2 linked regions of the Xenopus tropicalis genome follow. The protein of the gene in region 1 purifies or fractionates together with the protein of each later gene. This does not show direct contact. Links are inferred from orthologs where the notes say so. Each region holds a gene or a part of one and is shown on either strand. Other genes may lie near its edges.

Region 1 (16,054 bases):
AAAATTTGAAACATTAACACAGATATACACTTTGTACAGCAGTACTATCCCCCTCCTCATTCTTGTACTTGTTTGTTTTCAGCAGGACACTTTCAAAAGAATTTAAAAAATCCCACTCTTCTCTCCTGACATACCTCACCATGCTGCCCCATAAGCACTGCCTCAAAGACCAAATCAGTGTTACTTTTAGTGTACCAAAAGAGTAACTTGGTATTAGGCTTAAAGGAGAATGAAAGGCTAAATCACTGGGCCAAATGTTAGGCACAGGTGATTGTAATCACTTACCTGAAACCCCTGGGGTTAAGGCTGATGCCACACGAGGCGTAGGGCTGAAATTTTCGGCAAGCATTTTTCCACTTGCCGAAAATTTCAGCCCTACGCCTCGTGTGGCATCAGCCTAAGGCATGTGAGTGTTCTTCTTTCCTTCTGCTTTTGACAAGATCCTGGGGCCTGCACAGCTGAACAAAAAGCCAGCTTTTTTGTTAAAGTTCAGCTTTCCACTCCACTGCGCGAAGACCGAAGGAGGAAGAAGATTGCTTTGTTGCATACACCTGGTTTAGTTTTCTCATAACAGGAGCACAGCCTAGGGGTTTCAGGTAAGTGATTACAATCACTGGGGGCTGCCTAACACCCCCCAGTGAGTGTAATTTTCCTTCTCCTTTAAGCTTAGGAAATATCTTGGAACAAGCAAAGAGAAGTTTTCAGTATCAGAAAAAAACATTGTTACATTCAAAAGGCAATATTTAATCATGTTGTATCAACATTTTGAGGACCTGGAGTCCTAAATGGTTATATAAGAACAAACGTATCCCTTATCTGGCACGAAAAAAAACCCAACTCTTCCCAGTGGGAAAGCAAATGCGGCGCCAACAATTCCCTTTATTGCTGGGAAAGCTTTTTAGGGAGATCTGTGACCTGTGGTACCAGATATTCAACCGCAGATAACGAAGATATTTTATATGGAACTAATGCTGCAACAATTAATTTAGAGTTAATTTTGGTAAGGTCTTATTGTCTGTATAGTTTATTTTTTCGGTTCTAACTTCCCTTCTGGCTAATCAGCTTCTGGCTGCTGACATGCATTTCAAAATAAGGTAAAAAGAACTGAACAGACAGTTATGTTAAGCAATGAGTGGGTAACATAAATATCAGGAGATCTCACAGTGCGTATGCAAAAGCAGACACTCACACTTATTTATCACTTCTAAATGTATGTATATCAGAGATAAGGAATTAGGCAATAGATTAGACAGAGTGTGATTGTGTTATCTTAAACCTCATAAGAAGGGGGGCTAATTGGGTCTACCAATGAAAAAAAAAACTTTAAAGTTCTTTCTATTTTTTTTTTCCACGAAAAACTGAAAAGCTTGCCACCAAAAAAAGACTGCAAGTGCCATTAAGTCTCTTTATTCATATACATTTTAAAGGAGACTAAACATTCCACATATTTCCCTAAATACCATGCCTGCCCTCAAGTGAATCGCTGAATCAGTTTTATAATATTATATATATATATATATATATATATATATATATATATATTACACATAAATACACACACCACTTCACAGATGCCATTTATGTTGCTTGGACTTTTTGTCTGTCTTTTGTCCATATTGCCCTGTGCTTCCTCACAGCCTCTGGGCATGTACCTGCTTGTTATAATTATTTATTGCGCAAGTCAGTTTCGCCGCTGCAATAAAGTGAAGGGAGGGGGAAAGCTGCCATAGATTAATGCTACTCTGTGGAATTCGATTCAGTCAGGGGCAGACTAGAGGTATTGGCTGAGGTGTTTAAAGGTTGCACACATCCTGGGGTTTAGTTCCCCTTTAACCATTAACTCAGATAAGGAGCTGAAATATGTTAATTTCCTTCCATCATTTGCAACTTAAATATTTGTTCACACTATAGGAGAATTAATTAGCAGTTTCAAACAGATTTTTGTCACATTTTGGACTAAACTGTTGCAAAATAACATGATCTCTCGAATATTTCCCATCGCTCTGGGCAAGCACCCCCTAGAATTGGGAGATCCAAAAAAATATGGTGACAGTCTTGTTTAGCATTTAGTTTTATACACTTAGGAGCAGATTTACTAATCCACGAACGGTCCGAAGGCGTCCGAATGCATTTTTTTCGTAATGATCTGTATTTTTGCGACTTTTTCGCCGCCGTCGCAACTTTTTCGTATGTTCAGCGACTTTTTCGTCGTCGTTGCAAAAAAATCGGGTTAGTTTTTTCGCTCAATTCGAAAAAATCGAGACGGCGTCGAAATAGTCGCGCAAAATACGCTAAAGTTGCGACAACTACGAACAAGTCGTGACGGCGACGAAAAGATGGCAAAATTTTCGTTTCCAATCCGAATTTTTCCCTTTCGGGATTCGGATTTGTGGATTAGTAAATCTCCCCCTTAATCAACATTATTCCAAAAGTGGCCATGCACTGTGCAATCCGCTTATTTGGTAATATGCCCACCTACGACGCGGTTCCCGATCCATTGGGAAGCAGGTACATGCCCAGAAGCTGTGGGAATATCAAACTTGCCCGACAGAGATCTGCCAAATTTTAGGTCACATATAGTTGGGTAGGCCCGTCGGGGGTGTCCATACTTAGGCAGATAACCTGCCCAATGTATCTGAAGGACCCAAATCGGCAGCTGAAATCTGCCCGTGTATGGACACTTTATAGTAAATTTGTTCACTCGCAAAGGAAACTTGGGGCAACTAGACTGTATGCTTTCCCAACAACCGTTGAAGGGACCCATACATGGACCAATAAGCTGCTGTCGGTATATTTTATCAGCCTGTGTATGGCCACCTTTAAGCACAAAGTGTAATGTAACACCTATTTCACCTTTTTTCCCCATTGTGAAGTGATAGAATCTGAGACTTACAGTACCTCTATTTTTTAAGAATCAAAGCAGCACCCACAATGGAAAGCAGAGGGACATCAATTCCCAGAGGAATTACACTGTGAGAACAAGGGATTCTCGGTTATGTCTGTGTAAAAAAAAAAAAAAAAAAAAAAATCTTGGTAGTTCAGACAGTGTCTATGCACATTTTCTACATTAAGCCATGTGGCAAATAGCATCCCCGAGCTTTCCTTATAACATATTCCAAATAATTTAGTTTTTTAGCAAACACACTTTTCAAAATGACTCAGCATTTATATAAAGTCATTATTCTGATAGCACACACTGATTATACGTGGCCAAGAAAGTCTAGAATGAAACAGCATCTGCTTGTAATTTCTGGTCTGCCTGACTTCACTGTGGAGGAGGGGAGCGTCTGTGGATCAAGTTTTTAAACCCATGAAGTTTTAGCTGCTTCACCCCATTTGGCATATGAAAAGGCAATAACTTGTGCTTAGGCTAGCTTTACACAAAGTAAATCTGTATATGTGTGTATATATCTGCAGTTTAGAATATGTTATGACACGGGGCAAATATATCTCCTTCCCCTCAACACAAAAAACAAACAAACAAACCTGAAAAGGTGGTGACAAGTCTAGCATCTGATGGTGCTTCTATTCTTCCACAATAAAATCAAGGCGCATCAAATTATACTGCCTCTAAATAAGCCTCCAGTTCAATCATGATTGAAGAAGGGAGTGGGAATAGCTGAAACTCATGCCACACCAAACTAGACATATATCTACCCAGACTTACCAGCATCTGAAACCAATTACCTGCCATATGTCTTATAATATCAAGGTGGACAAAATTATACTGCTTCTAAATAGATTGGGGGTATTTTGTGAAGTGTATGAAGAATGTATGCTATGGGCAATAGCTGAACCTCAAGCTTTTGTTGTCCCGCACCACATATTCTCTGTGGGTCCCAGCAGGTGAACATCCTGGCAGAGAACTCTACCTAGAGCGGATAGGCTAATATCAATCTGTGCCAAAGCATGCTTACCATTCTATATTTCTTCCAATGAAAGGGTGATGCGCCTATACAGCACCTACAGATTTCTGACACATATCACAAATCTATTTGGCTATAAAGGCTGTGGAACTTATTATAGAGCAGACAGCAGAAGTGTGAGAATGTAGGGCATAACTATTAACAGCAAATTTTCACACCAGAATTCTAAGGTCTAAGGTGGCGGGAAATAATGGTATCATTATCTGCATAAGGAAAAAAATACACACATTATATTTATGTAATGGATTATTTCTGTGGAGATGCATGACATTAAGTCCTTATAAGGACTAAATCAAAGTATAAAAAATGTCCTGACTATTTTCCACCAAATGTTAGATCATTTTATTTGCCTACAACATTTTAAATGATGTTAACTAAACAGATGATAGATAGTAAAGGCAGATATAGATATGGCCAGTAGTGTCTCTTACCTTTATACCTTTTAATAACAAAAGTTAAAAATAGAATAGCACAAGACCTTGCCTTGTGTATTTCTGTTATAGTATAATTAAAATCAATATCATATAAAGTTTTTTTATGTATTATTTGCCCATCATTGTACCTCAAAGTTGCTTCCTTCATAGCGTATTCCAGGTGTGATCATTGCTAGATGCCAAGTGAGAAATTCCTACTGACTGACTCCAGTTCTTACTGCTTCTGCCCCTGTAACTCAACCCTACAGCAACGTAAGTAAAAGTGCTGTGTGAAGCATTTCTACTAGCACATAGACCATGACCACAGGGACAAGCACAGGAAAAAGGATTAACTCGTTACATTTGCAAAACTAAAAAGCAGAGAAGAAAAAAAAAACTGTACACACAAAGGCATTTTGCCTGGTACAGAAATGGGATCCATTTAACCAGAAACCTCAGGTCTCAAGCGTTTCACATAATAGATCACATACCTGTAGTCTTGTTGCACCATGTTTAGCAGCTTGTCATACACTCACCATGATGAAAAATGAAAAAGCCCGACAATAAATGCAATAAAATATTATAATGGTGTCAATGGCTGAATAAAACACATAGAATTTAAAAAAAAGCCTAGAAATATTTATTTAGCCGCAAAAATAACAAACCACAAAATGTCAATTAAAACTAGGGGGCTATGAGGTCTGTTTACTAGCAGCTACGATTTTAGGGAACCAGAAAAAAATGGTGTAAAATTCGGGGGAAAATTTAAAACCAGAATATGTAAAACTGAGGTTTCACTGTATCTGATCAGTCAACAGAACAGTTACCAAAAGAATTCTCAAGAAAGGAAACTCACATGTGAACTAAACTATTTTCTTTCCAAATTTCTGCCAACTGTTCTTTCTTGCACCAAGCTGACACTTCTAAACTTAAGGCTACTAAACACTTCCCTCTGCTAAATTATGTACACAGCAGTGGGAGAAAAAAAAAGCAAGCAGGGTCCTTTTATTCACATTTAACCACATCAGAGGGTGAAGGGCAGTGGAGGGGGTTATGTAAAATTATATTTCTGAGCAGCTAGGCATTACTGAATCAGTTCCTTGCCACACCAGATAAAGTATAAAAGCAAGAATAAGAGCCCCTTATTTTAGGCTTACTTTGCCAAATTAATATTATTGTGGCGATTAACTCAAAGCTGCAAGCATAGAAATTGGGGCAATTAACTCAAATAGAGAAATTCTGAAGGAATTTTGCCAGGGTTTAAACCTAAATACCATGAGTCCCATGGGTACCCACTGCATCTCATTCATCTCACAAAACACACAAGAATCACCTACTTTTCCCTCCAGAAGTGAAGTTCAAGCCCACAAGTAAAATTTCTCACTTTGCTTTGTTATTAACTCTCTGCTAACAGAATAAAAAGATTCCGGCAGACAACTCTGTGCCACCAGCATAACCTCCACTGATCAGCCTAAATATATTTGCTCCTCAATATTATTCATAAGTCTTTATAACGGCCCAAAATATTAGGCAGGGCTCTAACATACATCTTCCAATTACATGTACTGCAATCATAAAACCTATTTTGTCACCGCTGTGCACTGAAAAAAAAGGAATTAGGATTAAAAAAATGCACCCAATATAAACAGACATTTAATGGCTCACAAAATCATGTGTTTAATACATTCCTCCCCAGCTTATTTTGTTATACATGTATGGGACCTGATATCATCGTTAGTAAATATGAGCAGGCACTCTAATGAACACAATTTGATAAATCTGCCCCTTAGTCTATGACTAACTGTTGAGAGAACACGAAACACACAAAACTGCTCTTATGTGTGCAAAACAAAATTTGGGCCTGTTTGGAGGACTGCTCATTGGAGTTCCTGCTCATATTTACTACTGATGATATTCACCCCCTAAGCTAGTAAGTTACCATTTGTGGACATTTGTCTGTTTCTATAAGGGATCTGATATCCAGAATGCTCAGAACCTTGGGTGTTCCAGGTAAGGGGTCTTTTTGTAATTTGGATTTCCATCCCGTTAGTCTACTAAAAAAATAATTTAAACATTAAATAAACACAATAAAATTGTTTTGCCTCCAATAAGGATTTATTATAGCTTAGTTAAGATCAAGGATAAGATACTGTTTTATTATTACAAAGACAAAATCATTTTAAAAAATTTTAATTTTTTTATTAAAAAGGAGTCTATGGGACAGACGTATGGGACTAAGCTTATTGGATAACAAGTTTCCAGATAATGGAACTCATACCTGAGTATGTATTGTATTTGGTTCGTCACATGCATCAAGCTCTAAACATTATTAGTAATTAAAAGCTCTGGAGTCACTGAAATCAAGCTGGTTATACACTACACGGTGAGATAATGTAAAAACTTTTTCTAGCCTGTGATAGTTGCTAGAATCTAGAAGATTCTGCATAACATGGTATGACTGGAGCAATTGCTGGTGGTTCCAGGAACTTTATTTTCTGTGGGAGGGGTACAATAGTTATTATAATACACAAATTTCAGTGAGTCATATACATAGTTAAGTTGGGCTGAAAAAAGACCAAAGTCTATCAAGTTCAAGCCCTCCAAGTGAACCCGGCACACACATAGACCTATATGTGACCTATCTATACACTCACATACATAAACCATATATACCAACATGAATACTAACTGTAGATATTAGTATCACAATAGCCTTGAATATTATGCTTGTTCAAGAACTCATCCAGGCCCCTCTTAAAGGCATTAACAGAATCTGCCATCACAACATCTCTAGGAAGGGCATTCCAAAACCTCATTGCCCTCACCATGAAAAAACCACCTAAGCTGCTACAAACAAAAGTTCCGTTCCTCCAATAAAAAGGGGTGGCCTCTGTTGCACTGATTCTTTTTATGGAAAAAAGAACATCACCTAATCATGACCCCTCACAAGCGCCTTTTTTTCCCAGATAAAACAACCCCAACCTTGACAGTCTAACCTCATAGTTTAAATAATTTACTTAAAATTGAGCATTACACCACCAAACATTGATTAATATAGAATAATCTTGTGGGTTTAAGCCAGGTAGGGACCACCTATTCCTCTGCTCCTGTCTTTAGCAGCATTCAGATAAGCACATAAATCTTTATCCACATTATTGATCTGTTTTCATTTCTATTCAATGCCTTTTGCTGAAGAATAAACACACTGTTCAGCCAAAACTAATCATTTTATAGAAGTGGATGAGGCCTATATACAATCACGTGTAATAATTTATAAAGAGCTGAAGTGCATATTAGTAACGCGCGGGTCAAGAAAAACTGCTCACAACCCGAACCCTACCCGATACGGCTCTTCTCCCCTCTATTTATAGACCCAGCGCCCACTATGATGGCACAAAAGGGGCGGGGCATGTCGGGGCGTGCCTATAAATACAGAAGCCATAAGAGGAAGCCGGCAGTATTAGGTCGCCGGTGGAGAGAGAAAGCAGAAGAGCTCTACCCAAACCTGCCCTCGACACGCAAGTGATGTGCCGAAGTCGGCCCAAACCTGCGGATATCAGGCGGCCCCCGGACATCACTAGTGCATAACACCCCGCACACTGTCACTGTACCAAATAATCTGCCAAGTGCTTTTATACAGATTACAGAACTCCAAGGTACAACAGGTGCTACATTTGAGATAATACACAATTTTCAGTTTGAGTCATGTGACAAATTACATCACTGAACACTGATTAAAACTGATGACATCACTAAGCATCATCTAAAAAAAATATAATTTACAGGATATTCACTGTTTCTGTGTATTTTGAGGATAAAAATGTAGCCAAGTGGATGCCTATTTTATTACACAAATAACTGTTTTGTAATTTTTTCCAAAACACATTTCTACTGTATCCAGAGTTTGTCAGGCACACAAAATAAAATTTTGTTTGATGATATCTTTTGGCAGCAAAATCATTCATAACCTGATGTACATACAAATTTTTATTTAGAGTAAATTACTGCTACAGGCTATAAACTGTATGTAGTGAAATTTTGATCAGCAACATTAGTATTTCAATACTGGCGCAATCTTTTATGGATATTGTAAAAAGTATGGATTTATTTAATCAAAAGCAAGCATGTTTAGAGAGAAAAAAAAAGGTAAAATTATTAGCAAATCCTATGACTGGGTGTAAGAAACGCATACCACTTATATGGCATTACTCTGTATGTGTGCTATGTTGCTAATCTATGGTAATGAGATTCCAAAATAAACAGAATTCTAAAAATTAAGATTGTGCAAACTGTTCTTGTAAATAAAAAAAAAAGTGCTTCTGGGCACATTTTCATAAATAAACTAGTGTGTTTAGTTAAATCAAGGCCAGTTAGCAATGCACACAATGGAAAATAACGTCAGTGTTCTCCAATAAAGATGCTCCCTAACATCTGCATCCCACCTGTGTGCTGTGGCTCCAGCTCCATATGCCACTGAGACATAAACAAATGCCTGAGACCTGCCAGTGTACACTTTAACCAGTCAGTGTTACTACTTTAAAGGAACAGTAACGCCAAAAATGAAAGTGTATTAAAGTATTTAAAATATAATGTACTGTTACCCTGCACAGGTAAAGTTGTGTATTTGCTAAAGTAACAGTACTATAGCTTACATAAATAAGCTGCTGTGTAGCCATGGGGGCAGCCATTCAACCTGGAAAGAAGGAGAAAAGGCACAGGTTACATAGCAGATAACAGATAAGCTCTGTAGAATATAGTGGGGCTTTATCTGTTATCTGCTATGTGCCTTTTCTCCTTTGAATGGCTGCCCCCATGGCTACACAGCAGCTTTGTTTATATAAACTATAGTAGTCTTTCTGAGGCAAACACACCAGTTGTACCAGTGCAGGGCAACAGTACATAATATTGTAATTACTTTTATACACTTTCATTTTTTGGTGTTACTTTTCCTTTAAGTTAAAAAAGGGATCTATAGATTATGCAGCAGCAATTGATTTCCTATGATCCATTCACATTAATAGACATAAGTGCCAGTTAAAAACAAATATCACTTAACAGAAATAAAAATCTGCAAAGCACCTTGTGTTTTTCAGTTATTTATTATCACAGCAATTATATAAATGATGCAGTGTGTTACTGCTACATCTCTCCATGCTGAGTTGGGCTATATGTTACCAATTTAAAAAAAAAAAAAAATAGAGAAAACCAGTGTCTACTACACTTAACTATCCTTAAACTATATTTCCCATGAGCCACTGCCAGCCTTAACAGGCGATGATTTGTCTTAGCTGAAATATAAGTTCTAGGAAAGCATCTCTCGCTTTTTTTTAAAGGAAAACTGATGGTTACAGCCATTTATTAAAGTCAGATACATATATGGCCGCCATGGGGGGGCAGTCGTTCCGGTCCCTGTAGGTTTTGGGTCTTAAAAAGGACATAGCTATGCCTTACTTACTTGGATTATCGGTTCCCCTGCTGTCAATGAGCTTCGGAAAGGAAAGCAGTTGCTAGGGTGCCCACTTGTTCTCTCCTCAACAATCCCACAGCCACAAATCTCATCACGCGAGACTGGCGTGACAACTGCACGTAAAGTGAGTGACGCATCACAGAGCCGCCTTGGGGGCGTGGCGAGTGGGCGGGACTCAGCGTTCCACAGTAGCGCACTGTTAGTGAGTTGGAGTGGCTCTGCTTGTTCGCTCTGCTTGCGCCTCCTACTTGTGTTAGAGAACAAAAAAGAAAGGACTTTTCTTTCCTGTTGGTTACCGCCATGCGCTCTGCCACCTTAGCTCCCAATTTCCCCTTGAAATAAAAAAAGTTTTTTTGTTTTTCTTTTATCAAGAGTGTCCCCTGCCATCTTCCACGATCAAAGTCTGTTCTCTTGAGTTGAGAAAAAAAAAAAAAAGAGTTTGTGCAAATTAAGGGCAGGGGAATTTGTTGTTTGTATATTCTGTGTTTATTGAATTTGATGTAACAGTCACACAGATTTATATTATGGGAAGTAGAAACAAAAGAAAGCAGAAGGAAAAGGAAAAATTGAGTCCTGTTTATAAATTAAAAGGAAGTAACTAAATTGGTTCCCAAGCTATTTATAACACCAAGGGGCACATTTACTAACCCATGAATCCGAATTGGAAAAATTCCGATTGGAAAACGAACATTTTGCGTCTTTTTCGCATTTTTCGCGATTTTTTTCGGCGCCTTTACGACTTTTCGGAAATTGTCGCGACTTTTTCGTTACCAATACGATTTGCGCGAAAAAACGCAAGTTTTTCGTAGCCATTACGATGAGCTCGTATCTTGTCACGACTTTTTTGTATTGAGCGCTCGTAAGCGGCGGCCGAAACTTTCAGACTTAGCATGATTTTGGAAGCCTCCCATAGGACTCAATGGCACCCTGCAGCTCCAACCTGGCCCAAGAAAAGTCACCATACTGAAGCTTGAATGAATCCGAATCTTTCGTACTCGGCGCGAAGGCTACGAAAAAGTCACGATTTTTCGCGCAAGTAGTAACGCTACGAAAAAATCGCCAGATTTTGCGCAACATTCGGAATGGCAACGAAAAAGTCGCGACAATTTTTCTGAAAAATTGCCAAATACCGATCATTACGAAAAAAACGCAATCGGACACATTCGGCCCGTTCGTGAGTAAGTAAATGTGCCCCCAAGAGCTGTTAACCCCCCCCCCCTAATTTTTTCATAGTTAAAGCTTTTGGCTGCACCCCAGTTGCCCAATAGCATTCTCCCGATTTTTCTGCAATCCTACGAACTTTGCATCAAAAAGTGGTGACGTCATTAGAAGCATTTGCTCATTCACGGGTAGCGATTTTTGGCTTCAATGGGGCATTTGCGTGTGACATCTCTTCTGGCATGGATTCCCCTGGGGCTGAATACAATATTTATTAGGAATGCACCAAATTCACTTTTTTAGATTCGGCCGAAACCCATAAAAGATTCAACCGAATACCAAACTGAAGCCGAATCCTAATTAGCATATGCTAGTTGGGTTATGAAAAGATTACATTTTCAACTTCCGTGTTTACATGATAAAAAGTCACGTGATTTTTAGGATTCGGTTGGCCAGGAACATGAATTCGGCCGAATCCCAAACCGAATCCTGGATTCGGTGCATCCCTAATATTTATGAAGTTTGCTTATACACCTTCTAATCTATGCTACTATTTTCATTAGCTAATCAATTTGTCATATTATTATTTCCACAAATTATCTCCTTGGGCAGGGTTGTCTTCCCATGGGCATCAAACTACATAATAGTCATTATCTTATTGTATTGAGTGAGCTGTTCTTCCATGAGACATATTTTATATATTGCTCATTCATATGACATCAAATGAGGAGCAAAGGCAAGGTGGATGGTGTTCAGGATATGCATTTGGTTAAACAAAGCTGAAAGGCAAAAACAGCTGCTACTGAAGTAGCTTGAATTCCAAAGAACTATTAGGGACTAGACATCTCTCTGTACTTATAAAAAGGCTTTTGTGTCCCTTTAAAAGCAGCGTTCCACATAATAGCCTCTCTTCAAAGAAACCACAACATCCTACTCTGTTTCACCTGCATAGTCAATTTCATACAATTTTCCCCAAATGATGGGCTACTAGTACTGGAAGATGTAGAATGGAGTCTGACCTTGAATAAGGCTTTTGTACATGGAAATAACCTCACAAACCTAGTCCTTGGTTTTATACTTCTCTGTCAAACTCTGGCCAAGATTCAGCCCTGTGTCGCATTAGACTATGGCCACACACCTCTAGTGGGTTTGCTGCTGTTGGCTATTTTATATATATATATATATATTAGTATGATATTTAACTGCAATTTTTTCTACAGATTAGTTAAGTAACCTGCTTACAGTAGTTATGTAAAGCATGATTGATAAGGCAGCAGAAAAATTGAAAAACCATACTATGTCTTTTGTTTAGCTCACATTTGGATTACACTAGCGAAGAAGTGCCCAAATCAACTGCCTCACAAATCAGTCACTGCGATCTCTGTGAATCACCTGCTGTACCAGTACTTGTGTAGCCACTGAACCAAGTCAGCTATTGTGCCAGCCACGTGTTTCTCATTTAACTGACTGTGGCGGACAACTGAAAAAATTCAGATTTGCAGCTAAACAGCCAAAATAAATAAATTAAGTCAAATGTTCACTGTTCAGTCAATGTGCACTGGGCATGGAGGGCAGCCTGCAAATTGTCGGGAAGTGTTGCTTTCATCCGTCGATGCCCTTTGGAAAAATAGCAACATTATCTTAGGGACCTGCAGGACTTTATATATTGGCCGAGACTTAAATTTAAGCTACTAGGAGAAGTCGGGCACAAAGCAGAGGGCCAAGACATTCAGCTCTTTCAGTATCTACATCTATGGCAATACTTCCAAGCAGGAATGGGAGGAAGCAACAGACTGTCTGTATGGGGATCTAATTTTACTGAGGGACAGACTTATACAATTTAAGTTCCTTCATCAAATCTATATCACTTCACTTAGATTGGTAAAAACTGGGGCGAAATCCTGGCGCACTATGCCCCAAATGTGAAGAGAGCAAAGCTACCTTCTGTCACATGGTCTGGAGTTGTTCCCAGATTGTCAAATTCTGAAAAGGAGTTATAGATTATAAGAAATAGCCTTCCCTGGCCCTTATTCCCCAGAGGTCTGTCTACTAGGCCTAGTGGATGACATACTACCCCTTCTTAAGACCAGGTCACTAGCACAGGCCTTACTCTTTTATGCTAGAAAACTTTTGATAATTAAGTGGATGGTGCCCCAAGCCCCCAATGTCCCTGACTGGGTATCAATGGTTAACAAGACACTCCCCTTAATCAAATTAAGCTATGAGCAATGACACATGGGTTGCTTCTATATTTCTGCACAGCTACAAAGGATACCTACATGTAAAGTCTTTTTTTTACATGAAGCAATTCCGTAAATGACATTACACCACTACTTATAGCACTTAAAGAGAAAATATAACCCCCTTCTCTACTTCAGTTGGACTTATGTGCATAAACATTATCTAAACTTCCAGATATAAATGTGTATACATGTTAATGTATTAAAGCGGACCTGTCACCCTAAGAAATAAGTCCAAATTATTTTCTATATTGTTAGTTGAGCAAAATAAACTTTACTTACTCTATAAAAATAATATAAACCTTGTTTCCTTCCGTCTTGGAATTACTCAATCAAAGCAAGCAGGCAGGCGCCATTTTGTGGACACTGTTATTAAGGCAAGCTTTGTATCATGCCAAAATCTTGTTTATGTGCCAGAATGGGGGACCAGATGCCCAGGCCCATGCACTGGCTACACAGGTAGATGAGAAGGAGGGAGGGGAAAAGTGAGATGTGCAGTGACATCTAGGAAGTGCTGAATGGAAAGCTAAAGTTATTGTCTGCCCCGCCTCTATGCCTAAGGCATAGAGGCGGGGCAAGCAATATATGATTGACAGCTGGGATTTTTATATGCCTTTATAATGGGTTTGGATGTGTAAATCTAAAAATGAATTTGGGTTTCATGTTTAATTTGAACAGGACTTCTATTATACAGATTTTCATGTCTGGGTGACAGGTCCACTTTAAAGGAGAAGGAAAGGCTAAGTCACTTGGGGGTGCCAAAATGTTAGGCACCCCCAAGTGACTTAGATCACTTACCTTGTACCCTGGGCTGGTGCCTCTGTTAGGAGAAAAAAGCACCAGCCCAGGGTACTTGTAATGAGCGCTTCCTTCTTCCTTTTTCTTCTGCCGGCGAAATCCGTGGACCGGTGCCTGCGCAGTAGAGTAAAAAGCCAACTTTCTTGTTTAAGTTCGGCTTTTCACTCTACTGCGCATGCGCGTGCAAGCGAATAGGAAGTAGGAAGCGCTCTCTGCTACCCTGGGCTGGTAATGTTCTCTTCGTACAGGGGCAGCAGCCCGGGGTAAAAGGTAAGCGATCTAAGTCACTTGGGGGTGCCTAACATTTTGGCACTCCCAAGTGACTTAGCCTTTCCTTCTCCTTTAATGAAGTACTGCGTAGTAATGGCAACCTAACCATTACCTATAACTTTCTATGGGTCATTTCTCGGGGTGGGGCTTAAAAATGTGCCCAAAATGTGCTCAATCCATGCTTTACTCAGAGAGTTGGATCCCAAGAAAATGCACCTAAGGGTATTTAGGAAATTATGTTCAATGACAGACAAACCTCTTTTTCTATTATTTATACACTACTGTTTATGAGGTTTTGTGCCACAAGGCTCAGGAACAAGCAGTGGTCTGCTGCTGCCCTAGGCACCAAACCGGCAGCCCTACTTCCCTTTTGTTGACTGTCACATACTGTATGGTGTATATTCTGTGCATGCTCTCTTGCTCTGAACAGCATTGCCTTTGTATTTAACAGGGGCCCTCTGGTGTCTGTATATAAATATGGTCATGACAAGACTGCCCACAAAACATGTATATATAGTTTATGTATGTGATAGTATAAATTGGTAAGTATAGGTTGTGTGTGCTGGGTTTAAATGGAAGGGTTTTACTAGATGGACTCTGGTCTTTTTTCAACCCTATGTAACAATCAAGAAAAGTATGATTTTATATCAGATGTGGAGTAAATTTGGAAAGGAAAATATTCCAACTGTCCAACTGGAGGCAAATGGGCCAGATGTGGCCCTCCAAAGGATATTTATGGCACGTAGTCTGCTTAAAGGCTCTATAGACTCAATGCCATCATCATTTAATTTAATCCAACCCTCGAACATGCATATGAGAAAAACAAGGCCCAGTAAATGTAATGAGTTGGACATAACTGCCTTGAATAAGATTAATTTGGAATCAATCTTATTAAAATAGATAACTCTCCAACATCAATAGAGAAGACAGCACTAGCATAGCTATCATTTGTAAAATGCTGGGTCATAATTGTTGCAGATCAAAATGTTAACCATATTTTATCCATCTGCTGCCAAACCTTTGCTTTTGTATCTGGGAAACCATTCTTGGATAAAAATACAGAAAATGTAGATTGGGTCTTTTGTAAAGATTATTGGGTTCTCCATTATGCCATATTCTTGTTATGTTGCAATTTGCATTCTTGCTCCAAATATCTTGTCTTCTATGAAGCAGTGTTAAATAATCATAATATAACGTTGGCATACATTATTTCCAATAAGAAAAACATTTTTTTACAAAGACAAAAACCATGAATATAGAAAAATAAGCATATTGTTTACTGTATGTGGCACTCTCACTGGCATGAACAAGAACAATTTATAAGCGAGTAAGGTAGGTGAACTGACTTCTATCTTCTATGAACATTACAGAACACAATAAACTGATAATGATCAAACATGTTTAGTGACAGAAATAAATGATACTTAAAAATTATCACAAATTACATTTTTGCCATGGTTTTCTGTTTTTAGAATTGATGTATTGTAATACAGCTCCTAAATGTTATGGCTAATGAACACTATATGAGCAAATACAACATAAAGTTTTTTTTTGTTTTATTATTGTGATTGTTTACAGAGGATCTGATTGTAATAAATGAGATGAGATGCACAAGTATGAAAAACCTTACCGGGGGCAAAAAAAGATGTTATTGTCCCTTTCAAAGTTGGAGAACTTTCTGCCATTTTTCCCTTTCTATATTTAAGGAATTGAACACTTCACAAACATTTTAGAAACTAAATCTAAATCCACAGACATATAACTTAGCAGACTTTTGGAATT
Region 2 (16,056 bases), on another chromosome or scaffold:
TTGATGATCTAGGCCTTTAAAGTTGTCCTGTGGAGGCTTCCAGTTTGGATCTTCTTTAAAAGTGTCTGTGGCACTGCACATGCTCACAGTGCGCTCTGGACAGCTGATCGGAAGATAAACTTATGGAATGTCGGGAATTATTATGCAGAATATGAGGTCACTTCTGTTGGAAGTCGGTCCCTAAGCTAACATTATTGACCGCAGCCCAGAGCATGTGGTGGGAAAGAAGATGGGGGGCTACTGGGGGCATTTTCAGAAGCACAGATCTTCCCTGCTAAAGGGCCATGGTAGCCTTGGGCTGGTACAGGAACCCAGATGTAATGTTCAGCATTTATAGCCTAATTAATGTTAAGGTCCCCATACACGGGCCGATTCTAGCTGCCTATATCGGACCCTTAGACTGATTCGGCAGCTAATCGGCCCGTGTATGGGCACTACCGACGGGCCTGCCCGACCGATATCTGGCCTGAAATCGTCCAGATATTGATCAGGCAGGTTAACAAATCTAGTCAGATTGGGGACCGCATCGGCTCCCCAGGGCCAAACGATCGAATTACCCTGGATTCTCCAGATATCGCCCACCCGTAGGTGTTGATATCGGGTGAAGATCCACTCGCTTGGCGACATCACCAAGCGAGCGGATCTTAAGGTGTATGGGCACCTTTAAGCTTTAGTTCAGGGCAGATAAAATCACTTTTTCCCCCCACACAGTGCATCCCAGAGGAACACTGTACAGGGTGGAACTGGACAGTACAGTAAATACCTACAGAATAATATGCCGCTCCCAGACTGCAATGGAAATGGCTGACACCGCAGTTATGTTACCCATTAAGCATTATGTGGTGTCACTAAGGGCGAGGCTCAAAGTTGAACTTCACTTACTGGCAATTCAGTGGCAGCCCAGAATGCTTAGTAGGCAACATAACAGCACCTCTCTGCAGTATCGGCCATTTGCACTTAAGGCTGTGGGGGGGGATACAGATGGAAATGCATAACCGCTTTTTATTGACTTTACCAATCGCTAATGACTGTCTATGGCATTTGCCAGAATACACGGCTTATTAGTCTGGGCCTGACTGAATCCGAACCCTTAAAATCACATGACTATCTTTCTTTGCAGGGTTTTGATCTAGCCAAATCCCAAAACAGTGGATTTGATGCATCCATAGATTACAGTGGCTTCCATGGGTGCTAGTATAGGGTGAATCACGTAAGTGGGTGCAGTTTAAAGGGGAGGGCAGAGTGGATATTTTTCCTGATCCATCAGCATCGAAGGAGCCCCTGGGGGGAAGAGATAGATAAAAGCACAAGGCTTTCAGCTGAGTTAGAGATGCCAGGTAGGAATAGAAGGCTACCGGACATCTTATTAATGTTATCCCATCCCTGATAGGGAGGACACACTTATAACATTCACCCATGACACTGACCAGACCAACCTCCCAACTACAACAAATCAATGTGTGATTCTGTAAAATCCCAGTCAATTGTTACGAACATAAAACTGTTACTGACAACCACAATTCCAGCCCCCGAGACAACCAATCATATCACTTAGTCGTAACCACATGTGTGGGGCAAATCACAAATAAATGGGATCAAACAACTGTGAAACAGGCTGCCGAGGGTTAATGAGTGACTTCAGGGATTGTATATAGAAGAACTAAGGGACATGGCATCTGGCCCAACGCTGAATGAATGGGCTCCTGGAGAAGACACATTCATCCCTAGAGAATGGCTCAGCATGAAGCAGGAGTAATAGTGGGAAGCGCTGTAGGCACGCTCAGTGGGAGCCAGTCAGGCAGCAGGGTCAAACTGATAGGGATTGCAGTTGCTTGTGGGACACAACAGTTGGAAATGACCCAGTTTGAAGCAGTCCAATAAGCAAAGCAAGCTGTGCATAGGATCCTAGCAGCTGTGCCGCAAAGGCTTATGGGGCACCTAACAGAGACTGCTCATCATTTCCTTCAGTCCCACCATTCCATTAGTCCCTGCTAGGGATGCACTGAACCCAGTTATTCGAGGGGGGTTAGGGGGGGGCGCGGGCCCTGGTGGGCCCTCCACACCCCAGTCCGACCCTGCCCAGTGCTGCCTACAATCTAAGATCCCTATCACACACACTATCACGAACCAATGAGCTTGTTGTGAGCCTGCATGGTTTTGGAGAGTGAAAAGAATCTCTCCAGTTTGGTATTTTAGCAGCTATATGGTTGCTAGAGTCCAAATTACCTTAGCAACCAGGAGTGGTTTGAATGAGGGACTGGTATATGAATAGGAGAGAACCTATAGAGCAATAGTTTTTTGGCTGTGGGGTCAGTGACCCCCAATTGAAAGCTGCAAAGAGTTAGAAAAAGAAGGCAAATAATTAAAAATCTACAAAAAAATAAATAATGAAAAGATAAACCACCCCTTTAACAACTTGTATTTGGGAGCAACAAGCATCAAAGAACAAAAAAAAGTTGTTGTGGTTAGCCACAAAGTGACAAGTCTTAAATCTTTAACCAGCAATCCGTGCCCACCGCGTTACACAGCAGCGCAGCAAATAGGGGTGTGCCGGCATTAACCCCACAATTTATAGAACACTGTTTAAAAAAACGACACCCTCCCCCCCCCCCCGATACACACACACTTCTGGCAGTTATTAAAGTGTAAAATAACATTTGGGAAAGAATGCGGGTCTCTGGAGGCATGTGGGAGAGATTATGCACTGGCTCTGCTTACACAAGAGGTGTATAAGTCACCGGGCCAACGTCACAAACACAAAACGGCATTTGTCATTTTGCACTCGGCCAAAACGGCTGCGACTTTGCACTCAGCGAGGATCCGACGCTCTCTGCCCATTTTGCACTCAGTTAAACACATGAGCGAGTGGAAGCTGCTCCCGGCACTAGAGAGAATGATTGTTCTCTTCAGCGCACGCTTATTCAGCAAATACTGGGGGTTTTTTTTTCTTTTTGTGCGTGACAAAAGTCAAGATACAGGGAAGTTTCCAGAAACAGAAGGCAGGGACGGCTCGAAGCGATGTATCATGATATTCTGGAATCTGCACTGAAGGCACAACTAGAGGAATAGAATTCAGGTCCAAAACACTAAACTGCATTCACTGAAACTCTGAGCTGTGAGGGTTAATAAGTTCCTCGATTACTTGGCATTTGCTCGTATTTACTTAGCAATTCTATTTGCTTAACCAATTCTTTGGGAGGAGATGCTTTCTGTATGTGGTGCCAGGCTGGGGCAGAATATTCCCAAGAACAATGGTGCCATACAGAGCCAGCCCTAGCTAGGGATTATTCTATAACCTGCAGCGACTTTGTGGGCGAGATTTCTAATCTGTAAAATGCACTGGCAACAAATGGGAAGAACCCCGAGGCTCAGGGGGGGCTGGATATTATGAAACATCTAATAAATGTTCCTTAGCCTACATGTGGCCCCACACGTTAAGATCCTCTTGTTTAATGAGGTCAGATATTGCTAAGATGGGCGATATCGGGCTAAATTGATCATTTGGACCTAGGCCCATTGGATTGAGGACCACATCAATGAGCCGATGCAGTCAAACCTGCCTGGACAATTTTATCCAGATATTGATTGGGGAGGCCCGCCGGAGGGCCCCATACACCGGCACTTAAGCTGCCAAATCACTCCTAAAGTAGTTGAAATGGTAGCTTAAATCTGCCCATGGGTGGCCACCTTTACACAGAGGATTAGGGACCTTATCTGGCCAATATTGACCAGTCATATTAATGCTTAGAACTATGGAGAAAAAAAATTCTGTTGCTTTTAGAGAGAAAGGGTCTAAAGGAACATAACTGTGGATTCAATGGTCCAATATTAGGCTGGAATATAACAGACAGAATAGGAAGGCCACTGCCATAGGTGGGTGTAAGTGAGGCTGAACAGATGCAATAGGCTGATAGGACTTGCAGTAGGAGGATGAACTACATATCAAGTGCAGAAGGGGCATCATTTGGCAAGATGAGATAGTAGGGACTAAATATACCCCCAATGTACAGGGCCATGCAGAACCCAACTAAACAGGGCCATTAGGGGTTGGGAAGTCCTATTTGTAGAGGGTGGGATCCAAACAGCACATGGGGCCTGCCTCAGGACCATTAGATACAAAGTCATGGCCAGTGTGTGTAGATGATGGGGAGGGATACAGGGAGCAGAAGCCATAGGTGCTGATCCACAAGGAGAGGAAAGCCCCACCCGTGGCCCTGCAGCCTACAAAGAGCTGAATGGAGCAGTCTCAATGGGGTTAAACTTGAAGCTTAACTACACCTGCCATAGGTAGAGGGGCACTCGCGGGACCTGCCATAGGTGGGGGGGGACACTCATGGGACCCGCCATTTTACCTGTCATAGGTGGGTGACACAAGCAACCCATGGGACCCCTGGGGGGGGGGGGGGGTTACAAGAAGCCTAGAGGGTGACTACCAGGTGCTGAATGGAGCTTACCAGGTGGGGTGGGAATAATAAATGAATGGATAAATGGATGCATGAAAAAGACTTGACTTTTGTGACAGAAGGGACCCCTATTGGTACTGTCACACAGCAGCTGGGGGGACCCCTATTGGCACTGTCACACAGCAGCTGGGGGGACCCCTATTGGCACTGTCACACAGCAGCTGGGGGACCCCTATTGGCACTGTCACACAGCAGCTGGGGGACCCCTATTGGTACTGTCACACAGCAGCTGGGGGACCCCTATTGGTACTGTCACACAGCAGCTGGGGGACCCCTATTGGTACTGTCACACAGCAGCTGGAGGGCCCCTATTGGTACTGTCACACAGCAGCTGGGGGGACCCCTATTGGCACTGTCACACAGCAGCTGGGGGACCCCTATTGGCACTGTCACACAGCAGCTGGGGGACCCCTATTGGTACTGTCACACAGCAGCTGGGGGACCCCTATTGGTACTGTCACACAGCAGCTGGGGGGCCCCTATTGGTACTGTCACACAGCAGCTGGGGGGCCCCTATTGGTACTGTCACACAGCAGCTGGGGGGCCCCTATTGGTACTGTCACACAGCAGCTGGGGGACCCCTATTGGTACTGTCACACAGCAGCTGGGGGACCCCTATTGGTACTGTCACACAGCAGCTGGGGGACCCCTATTGGTACTGTCACACAGCAGCTGGGGGACCCCTATTGGTACTGTCACACAGCAGCTGGGGGACCCCTATTGGTACTGTCACACAGCAGCTGGGGGACCCCTATTGGTACTGTCACACAGCAGCTGGGGGGCCCCCTATTGGTACTGTCACACAGCAGCTGGGGGGCCCCTATTGGTACTGTCACACAGCAGCTGGGGGACCCCTATTGGTACTGTCACACAGCAGCTGGGGGGCCCCTATTGGTACTGTCACACAGCAGCTGGGGGACCCCTATTGGTACTGTCACACAGCAGCTGGGGGACCCCTATTGGTACTGTCACACAGCAGCTGGGGGGCCCCTATTGGTACTGTCACACAGCAGCTGGGGGACCCCTATTGGTACTGTCACACAGCAGCTGGGGGGCCCCTATTGGTACTGTCACACAGCAGCTGGGGGGCCCCTATTGGTACTGTCACACAGCAGCTGGGGGGCCCCTATTGGTACTGTCACACAGCAGCTGGGGGGCCCCTATTGGTACTGTCACACAGCAGCTGGGGGGCCCCTGGGCGAGTCTAATGCTGGGGGGGGGGGGGATCGCTGAGGCTATGGGGGTGCGGGCCCTATAACATGTACCCCAGCCCGGTGTCTCACCGTGTTTTCCCGGCATCCCCTCCGCCGCCGCGGCTGCCAGCGAGTTCCCGCAGTTCTCCACCAGGATGTTGGTTTCCTCCCGATCCAGGGCGGCCGATTCCCCCGCTGCTCGCTCCCGGGGTCGGTGCGATTTCTTGGCTCCGTGCGAGTGTCCGTGCCCCCCGTGTGAGTGCCCGTGCCCCGCACTGTCCCGGAACATACACAGCCCAATGAGGTTAATGAGCAGCCCCCCGGCACCCACCCCCATCACTACCAGCGGCTGCTCGATGGCTTGGGGCTCGGTGAATCGCTCGATGGCTTCCAGCACGATAGTGAAGCACAGGGCGGTGAGGAACACGGCATTGACCAGTGCCCCCATCACCCCGGCCCGGATCCAGCCGAACGTGTTCTTGTCCGTAGAGCGGGTCTTCTGGGCGAAGCGCACCGCCACTAGCCCGACCACCAGCGCGATCACGTCCGACAGCATGTGGAAGGAGTCGGACAGCATCGCCAGCGAGCCGGTCACCCGACTCACCACCACCTCCACCACGAAGAAGATGAAGGTCAGGGCCAGCATAAAGAGCAGCCGCACCCGGCTCGACTCCCACATGGCTGCGCTGCTGCTCCGGCTACCGAACCCACAGTCGGAAGGTCGCTGCGGCTTAGAAGCAGCGGCGGCGCACGGTAGCTTCCGCCTGTCAGTGGGACGGGGGAGGCGAGCTGAGGGCGAGAGGACCGGGGACCGGCGGCGCAGGCGGCTTCTCTCTCACTGGGCATCGCTGACGTCCGGAGGAGGAAAATAACAGCAACTTTTGCACCCGAAACCCGTCTTTTCCACACGGAGCGAAGCCGGGGGGCGGGGCGCGTCCCCTGGGCCACACCCCCTAGCTAAGGTGTGATTGGCAGGGGGCAGAGTGTAGCTTCCTGCAGCCTAGCAACAGGCGCCATTGCCGGGGCCGCGGCCTGCCCTCTCATTGGCTGAGGAGACGCACAGGGTGACGGACAAGATGGCACCGAATGATTGTCCTCTCTGTGCTGGGCTGTCATGGAGTTTTACCTACCAGGAGCCACATAGATGGGGAACATTCTCCCAGTCAGGACCCGAGTGAAAAATGGGAGGGCTGGCGGTGAAGGGGAAGATTTAGGGATAGGTCTGGCTTTGTAGCTATTGCTAAATGGCAACTTTAGTCCTGTTCCTGAGATCCTAGGAGCTTCCTTTTTAGAGATTATTATTTATTAACATTTATTTATAAAGCGCCAACATATGCCACAGCGCTGTACAATAAGTGGGTTTTATACATTGGACATACAGAGTAACATATAAAGCAATCAGTAACCGATACAAGAGGTGAAGGGAGCCCTGCCCAAAAGAGCTTACACTCTACAAGGAGACATACAGAGTAACATATAAAGCAATCAATAACCGATACAAGAGGGGAAGGGAGCCCTGCCCAAAAGTGCTTACAATCTACAATATTATATACCTGTTTCCCTTTCTATTCTTTATACTGCTATTTCTGACTCCTGAAACAATGTAGGGTAACCAACTCCTGCCCAGCCAGGACTAGAAGCATATATATATAATGTATATTGCAGGTCACGCCCAGAGTTGCAGCTTTTGTCATTCATAGAATAGAGCACAGAAAACATTGCTTTTCTATTTTACAGCCCTGCTTGCATTCCTTAGGCCTGTATTGGGCTAGCAGTGTAACAGCTTGCTTATATATGTACATTGTGCTTGTACCTATGGCCTTGCCCAGACCCACACAGGTTGCGTGCGACTCTCCCCTCTCACATACTGGGGGGGTAGGGGCGCTGCTACCCTGCAAGTTACCAGGGGTGGCAAGAAAATGTAAGAGACGAAATTCAATCTATTAAACTGAAATTTTGTCTCTTTTAGCGCACAGAGTGCTAGCGCTACGGTACAGATTGCGCTTTCTGCACTAGTGATGCACTTTGACCCACTCAGTCACTTCATTTGTGAGGGTGGGGGGACAGGCTTTCCTAAAATTAAATATAAACTGTTTATTAGCTGAATGGGTCGCACTCTCAGTTAAGGTGGCCGTACACGGGCCGATTCTAACTGGTCCCTTAGATTCGGCAGCTAATCGGCCCGTGTATGGGCACTAATGACGGGCCTGCCCGTCCGACATCTGGCCTGAAATCGTCCAGATATCGATCGGGCAGGTTTAAAAATTTAATCGGATCAGGGGCCACATTGGCTCGTTGATGCGGTCACTGAACCGACGGATGCCAATACCCATAATTCTATCGTTTGGCCCCAGAGTTCGTTTGCCCACCTGTAGGCAGGGATATCGGGAGAAGATCTGCTCACTTGGCGACCTCACCAAGCGAGCGGATCTTAGCGTGTATGGCCACCTTTACTCTTACACTTTTGGATGTAGTGCACACAACACCCCAGTACTCACAGACTGGTGAACTAGTTCCGCACTAGGGAAGCACATAGTGGTGTTTTACTTCAGGACCTCCCAGGTACAATTGCTTACGTAGAAACAAATAACACATTATTTAGAAATAGTTCAACTTAACTTTTCATGTTTATTCCAGTCCAGTCCATTCAAAGTCCCAATACCCTCAAGGAATTATGCGCTTACCCCCATATGCTAAAAAAAAATAAAGTTTGCCCAGGAGCAGTAACCTATAGCAACCAATAAAAGGTTTGCTTTTAAACCAGTGACCTGTAAATGATTCCTTCTGATTGGCTGTTATGGGTTACTGCTTCTGAGTAAAATTACTGTCTTTTATTATATAACCCTGTTTGGGGCATCCACAGGGTGCGGATCCTACACTAGAGTTCTTCACATTTGTACATAAACATACAGAATATAAAACTTTGGGTCAGGCTTCTCCATGTTCTTACAACTTACCATATTATTAACAGGACCCACAGGAGTAACTACGAAGGAAGCAGACCCTGCAACTACAAGGGGGCCCAGGAGGTATAGGGGCCCCATAAGGCTCTAATAATTATACATTTTTATTAATAATAAAACAGGTCAACCTCTAGACATTCTGGGGGTCTAAAAATTAATTTGTTGTGGGGCCCAGAAATATCTAGTTACACAAATGACAGGGCCCCAATTATTATCCCTTTGGGCAAGCCTATTAAAAGATCCAAATGCCTCCAGCCCAGCCTGACAAACACAACTGGCATTCTGCTCATGGGCAAGGCTGTGTTTAGGTCCATAGCTAGACTAGGCACCGGCCTAAATGTGCCCCCTAGTGGACGGAAGTGATGTAACGCGTGTGCGTGACGTCAGCACCAGATGTAACAAAACTTTGTGCCCCTAGGCACCCCTGGCTGCTTGCACCCTACCTGCCCCCCAATCCCACACTTACACCCTGACTGCTTGCACCACCCTCCAATCACTGCATAATGTCACATATTCCCTGCCAACGCTCCTGCCACATGTTTCTATGTGTTCTTCACTGGTGACTGGGAGTGGTGGGCGATATTGGGCTAAATTGATCCTTAGGGCATAAGGGCCTATAGACCAAGGACCACATGAACGAGCCTATGCAGTCCTTAATGCAATGGAAAATCAAACCTGCCTGATCGAGATCTGGGCAATTTTAGGTCAGATATTGGTTAGGCCTGTCGGGGGTGCCGATAAATGGGCAGATAAGTTGCCGAATTGATCTGAAGGATCCGAATTGGCAGCTAATCTGCCGGTGTATGGCCATCTAGGTGCTACTAAGCAGACAGTATCACACATGCTACTTTTTGCATGATATCCTTATCCTACTATGATTTGCTTTTTACTACCTATTGATAAGCTGTCGAGCAGTAACTTTTTAAATATGTTATTATAGGATTTTAGAACAGTGATCTTCCCATTTTAGCTCAGAATGTTGGTTAATTTATTGGGGGGTCACTCAACAGCTGAAGATCTTCATTTTTCCTGAAAATCTCATTTTACATTGTATTTATTACAGGCATAGCAAGTTCTGAAAGATAAGATGGCTGCGTGCAAGCCTGATGTCAGCAATGGAAATCTGCTGAGGAAGATAAAGGGAACATGGCTCAGCACAAGCTTTATCTGAGGACTTCGTCATTCTTGTTTGGGAGGATCGCTGCCTGCAAGGACAGTACAAAAAACAATACATTGGCCAGATGAATTGTGGGTTCTGGCAAATGCCAGAGGGGCTGCTGTAAGATGCCATAGACAGTCACTATTTATTGGGCTGGTGGGGGGGCTGTTTGGGCCTCTGTGTAATTGAAATACCAGGGCCTATTTTGAATACCAGTCTGGACCTGCACTAGTGCTTCTGCCAATACAAGTAGCATAAAAAAACGGTATCAGCATCTGATTCAGTTACGACTATGGGCACAAGCCATTAAAGCTTACCATGGAGCAGGGCTTTCTAAATAGAAAGGGGCGTAATCCGTAGTGTTCAAGATTGGCTTTACAACAAACTTTGGTCAGGTACAAAACCAGATCCCAACTGGCATAATGGTATGAGAATGCTGAGAGTCTATGCAAGTAGCCTTATCCATACAGTGGTTCTTATAGGGAAGCATCCCCAGGTTACCCAAACCCATAGGAGCTAAGCAGAGCCCATGTGAGGGGCAGAGGATGAAGAAAGCAGAGTGAGAGCCTGGGGGACCCTGGTTTTGGGGGAGAGATAGACAGTACAGCCCATTTGTTTATAGTTAACATGTGCCCCCTTCCAGGGGCTCTTTAGCTGGGAGAGGTGTATATCTTCTTGCATTTGGAGGAAGACTAGAACTAAATCATTTTCATTCTATGTCCAAGGGCTAGTAGGCATCATACACAGCAGTCATTCAACATGTTCCTTTCATAAATATATTTAACAATTTCTCTTAGTATTATTATTGTATAAACATCAGTATCCTAATGTGCTTTGCAATACATTTTATTTGTTTTTATTGTCACATTTTTTCCTTTTTTAACTCACAGGTGTGGAATTTGAACGGCTCTCTGGCTTAATTAACCTAGCAGCCATACAGCTATTAGAAAGTATAGGAGAGAGGGCCAGACAAAATAAGAACAACAATAAGGTTAAAGCCTTACCTTTTATCGTTATTTTGGCTTTTGGGATCAGCGACCCCCTCAGTCACCTCCATATGTTTTCAGTTCCAGGTTTGAAAGAAGCAGAATAAGAAGGCTAATACATCAAAACCCATAAACGATACAAAATGAAGAGGTACTTAGAAAAGTGAACTTCCCCTTCATTTATCATCTTAAAGGATATATATATATACTGTTATACGCATTTGTGTGAGAAAAGAGGGAATAATTCATTTTTTTCAATGCCTCCGAATATATGAATCTGGGTGATTTTTTTGCCCATTTCCCTATTCAGCCCGGCTCCCACCCTGTTCCACCCCACCCATCCTCCACACCCACTAGGGATATAAATACTGTGACTGGGGATTGGGTGCATATGCTGCTAGAAGCTCCATATTTTCACTTGTAAGTGTAACCCTTGGGGTTGCAGTTACCAAATACTGAAATTGTACAGCGCTGTGGAAGATGTTGGCGCTTTATAAATAAATGTTAATAATAATACTGAAATGAAATATTCTGCTGACCTAATTAAATTGGTAAGCTATTTGACACCTTGCCAGTAGGTGTCACTGTATCTTTCAAGCTTTCAGAACATTTTAGTTCCTTTTTCAAAAAAATGTTCTGAAAGCTTGCTATGGTTATCTTAGTTAGCCAATCAAGGTATCACCTATATACCACTTTTGTTATTTTTTATTTCAAAAGGGTTACCCTGTAAACATTTTTGACCGGCTAACACGGTACATCACCTTTTCCTGTATCTTTCAAGAAATCCCTGATCTGTGGAGAGACCAACAACCCCTGTCTCTGGAGAAAGAGTTTTAGAGGACTACTTCTTTCTGATTTTTGGGAGCTACAGGGACTGCTACATTGGGAGAGAACCCATTGTTAACCTTTATAGAGGGTAAGACCCCAGGGGAATCCTCTCTTAGCTGTTAGGATTAGCCAGCTTGTGTTGTGGGTCAGCACCCACTTAGTGCCCGTCAGGGTAAGCAAGCAGCCCAAAGCTCCAACAGAAGGTTAGTGGGTTAGTACCCTGGTTGTACACAGGAGACACCTGGAAACCCACAATAGGGGCCTTAGCGATAAGGAGGGTGTTTCTTTATAGAGAGGATTGCCATTCTACAAGCAGTGTTCATTGGCAGACCTGGCTGGGTGTGACCATAGAGCATTGCTCATATTTTTTTTTAAAGGTTATATTGAATTATTTACTGCTGTTTTATTAATTCACTGTCACCACTGTAATGTTATCCTTCAGTTGCTGCATAAATAAATATACCTTCTAAAGAATTCTTGGCACCCATTACTTTTCAATTAAATTTACACCACAACATTTCTGATAATCCTCTCACTACAAACAAAGGGCCCAGCCCTGAGTGAAAGTTCCTGGTGAAGACACAGAGCTACTAGTAGCAGCTACTTTTTCACGGCTACTAAACCTCAGAAAATCCCCTGCCATAGACAATACTGTGAATTGCCTCTGCTTAAACACATGTAGAGACAATTATCAGTAAATGATCAGCACTGTCTATTTTAGTAGCCACGACAAGTAGCTGCTACTAGTAGCTCTATGTGTCTTCGCCTTTAGGGCTCTGGCACACGGGGAGATTAGTCACCCGCGACAAAACTCCCTGTTTGCGGGCGACTAATCTCCCCGAGTTGCCATCACCTGCCATCCCACCGGCGAAAATGTAAGTCGCCGGTGGGATGGCGCACGCGGCGGCGCGATTTCAGGAAATTGCCGAAAAAGCCTTGCGGGGCAACTAATCTCCCCGTGTGCCAGAGCCCTTATACTGATGGTGTAGGCCTCAGTTGTGGTGGGTCAGCTGTCCAATGGTACTATACCTTATCAAACATATCTCAGGTAGATGAGATTGTACAGTGAGGAGCATCATTTATCAGCTTTTTTCCAGTATTGGAAGTGGGTCATCTCCAAATAAATACTATCATCTTTCTAATTATAAAAAGTAATATTCTCAGGAGAATGCAATGGTACTTTCCTAGGGCTATCTTCTCCACTAACCCCCAGGGTTCTGTTTTGTGAACATGGCATGAATAGAAACTGTTCCGTGAACCCCTCTACCCAAAACCCAGCACGATTGGGGCAGTCCTCGAAGATGTGGAAAAATGTAATTCCAAACTCTAATATTTACTTTTTATTAAGTCACAGGGCCCACAAAATGGATTTCTGATGGTGAATCAAAGGACATGACGCTGCAGAAATGTTATATACCTGGCTATAAATGGGTAGCATTTCCTCTTATATTCCCAGACAGGAAATGCCCCAAAACACTGGCACAATCAGATTCTTCTTATTTAGATTTGTCAGCATCTTGTGCTTCATTACATCTTGTGGTTATATCCCTGATGTTCTGTATTGTAGCATGCAACTTGGATTGAGCAACACCCTTAACGAAACAAGTGCAAATCACTTAATAATCCTTTTTTTTTTTTTTTTTCTATAAAACCTCTTCTTAAACAACGTCATATGAAATGAGCAGTTTCCTCAATAAAGAAATTTACCATGTATAAATAAGAAAATGTAATACAGCTATGGGACCTGTTATCCAGAATGCTTGGGATCTGGGGTTTTTAGGATAAGGGATCTTATATAATTTGCATCTCCATACTTTTTATACAAAAAAAATCATTTAAACATTAAGTAAATAGGATGGTTTTGCTTTCAATATAGATTAATTATATCGTAGTTAGAATCAATTACAAGCTACTGTACTATTTATTGGGCTGGGGGGGGCTGTTGGGGCCTCTGTGTAATGGAAATGCCAGGGCCTATTTTGAATCCCAGTCTAGGCCTGGCACAAATAGAGGCAGATTTAATCATTTCTTAATAGTGGGGAAAAAAATTGTGACTAATTTTGTTTTTCTGTGATTGCTATTTTATTTGAGAAAAAGCTCAAAAGTGTTTAAATAATTGTGTTAAATTACAGGAATAAAAAAGCCGATCACAAACAAAAGTCTTTTTGTTTCATTCACTTATAATGAGACTATAAAATCTAATTTTAATACTTGGATACTCTAGCATTTCCCAGAACTCACAGATTGCCAGTCAGGGCCTGTTTTGTTCTGTCCAGTTAGTCTGGAACGAAGAGGGTTAACCTGCCTTTCAGGCCCCTGTACTGGTGAAAGAGTAACAAAGGTATATAAATAAAACTGTACCATAATGAAAAATATGTTTGTCAGGGATAGCCTTCCTGGTATGACAATTGCCCCTTACATTCCAGTCCCAAGCCTGTGTAAATCATTAACTGAAAATATTTGTGCACATTGCTACATAAGGGAATTATGTATAATATGAAAGAACTGCCTGGTGCCCTTATTGTGGATTTTAATGACATGGCAATGTCACCAGCCCAAATGCCATAGTCACTATTTATTGGGCTGGTGGGGAGCTGTTTGGGCCTCTGTGTACTTGATATGCCAGGGCCTGTTTTTCAAAGGGTACAAATAGCAGATTGTCTGCTTTTGTACATAGTTGGTGGAAATCAGATCCACCTTCTTTTGCTCTTTTGTATCTGTATTGACAGACCCGGCGTTCGCCTGTGTGGAGCTACACAGTGTGGAGACTTTACACAGACTGATGCTGGGCTTGTCTATGGAGCTAGAGGGGTGAGCACCTGTGTATAAAATTGCAGGTAGAGGAGAGGTGACAATTTGCTATGTGTGCCCTTAGGCCAGTGATCCCCAACCAGTGGCTCGGGGCCAACATGTTGCTCACCAACCCCTTGGATGTTGCTCTCAGTGCCCCCAAACCAGGCAGTTATTTGTGAAATTCTGACTTGGGGGCAAGTTTTGGTTGAATAAAAACAAGATTAGAAAATGTTTTTTTTCCAACATTGGTGGAAAGGGGTAAATACTTTGAACAAATTGATAACAAAATTCCAGAATGTTTGGACAAGGTTAATAAATGTGAATTAAATACCAGAAAAATGTCAGGAATTCCAATTAAATTATTTAATATATCTCACCCTTTTGGCAACTGTCTTAATTTGTGAATGTCACCAAATGAAATGACTTTGGTCCACTGCTATCTAAGTGCTATGTACAGGGAGAGAAGTCCCGTATAGAATACAATTTTTAGTCATGGTCAGTATAGTTTTGGGCAGGATAAGATGTACCAAAATGGTCATAAAAGACAATAGGCCTATCCACCCAGTTTGTCAAGATCCTGCTGCAAGGATACCACATCCTGGATGGAATTAATTGGGCTGCACAGTTTTGTGTCTTTGGCAAACACTGTTACATTGCTTACAATACTCTCCCATAAGTCATCAATGAACAAATGAAGTTAAATAAAATTGGACCAAATGCAGAACCCTGTGGGGCCCCACTAAGAACTCTATTAAAATAAGAAAATGTACCATTGACAGCCACCCTCTGTACCTGGTCATGAAGCCAGTTTCCTATGCATGTAACACAAACATTGCTAAGACCTTAGCTTAGAAAGCAGTCGTTTATGGGGCACTGTATCAACTGCTTTTAAAAAATCCAAATAGATCATGTCTACTGCAACCCCACTGTCCAGCTTCTTACTAACCTCATCATAAGAAGTAATTACATTTGTCTGACATGATCTGTGTCAGGAGCAGCCACAGGTGGGTGGCTGGCAGATAGGAGCCTATATGCTGTGTAATATGGATATAACGGATACTGTTGTATATAGGCAGAAGGCATATTGAGATGCAGAGACATTTATTAAGGATTCAGCAAGAAATACAAGTCCCTAAAACAGGCCAGTGGTCAGAGGCAGGCGGCAAAACAATACAAGTCCGTTAAGCAGGCAGAGGGTCAGGACTGGCAGCAGGAAAGGAGGGTCCGAATAACAGGCAGTGGTCAGGGGCAGGCTGAAGACAGAGAGTAGTCAAATAAACAGGCCGAGGTCAAATACTGGGAGATCCAACTGCAGTCAGGGACAGGAGACGAGGAACGGAACCAGGCAGGAGTCAGGCAGGTATGGTCACAGGAACACGGGCAGGTATGGGTGCAGGAACCAGGTAGGAGTCAGGCAGGTACGGACACAGGAATCACAAAAAGGGCTTAATGAATTGTAACTGGCTTATAAAGCCCGATAATTGTCCAATTGCAACCACCTGGCTTACTAAAGGGAGGAGGAGGCGACGAGTCAGCACAATGGGGCCAAGAGGGATGATTATAATGTTTAGGGCTGGATGCCCAAGGTCTCAAGTGGCTCAGTGAGGTAATGCAGAACCTGCCTAATATAAAGTCCAGAGTTTGAGTACAGGCAGGTCCTGAATCTGCCCT

What was found.
Region 2: the proteins of csgalnact2 (region 1) and slc30a1 purify together in Homo sapiens (co-immunoprecipitation; 3 studies listed by BioGRID and IntAct, counting the BioPlex papers as one, with this or other methods). This does not show direct contact. The link is inferred for Xenopus tropicalis from reciprocal best matches to the Homo sapiens genes CSGALNACT2 and SLC30A1.

Annotation. Positions count from the first base shown.
Region 1 is NC_030683.2:50,284,482-50,300,535, reverse strand, and holds the start of csgalnact2 (chondroitin sulfate N-acetylgalactosaminyltransferase 2), read right to left. Parts: upstream 9,927-16,054; 5' UTR 9,795-9,926; intron 4,608-9,794; exon of another isoform or gene 4,489-4,607; intron 3,000-4,488; exon of another isoform or gene 2,899-2,999; intron 1-2,898. UniProt on the Homo sapiens protein: Transfers 1,4-N-acetylgalactosamine (GalNAc) from UDP-GalNAc to the non-reducing end of glucuronic acid (GlcUA). Required for addition of the first GalNAc to the core tetrasaccharide linker and for elongation of chondroitin chains.
Region 2 is NC_030681.2:14,909,007-14,925,062, reverse strand, and holds the start of slc30a1 (zinc transporter 1), read right to left. Parts: upstream 6,508-16,056; 5' UTR 6,336-6,507; coding exon 5,747-6,335; intron 1-5,746. UniProt on the Homo sapiens protein: Zinc ion:proton antiporter that could function at the plasma membrane mediating zinc efflux from cells against its electrochemical gradient protecting them from intracellular zinc accumulation and toxicity.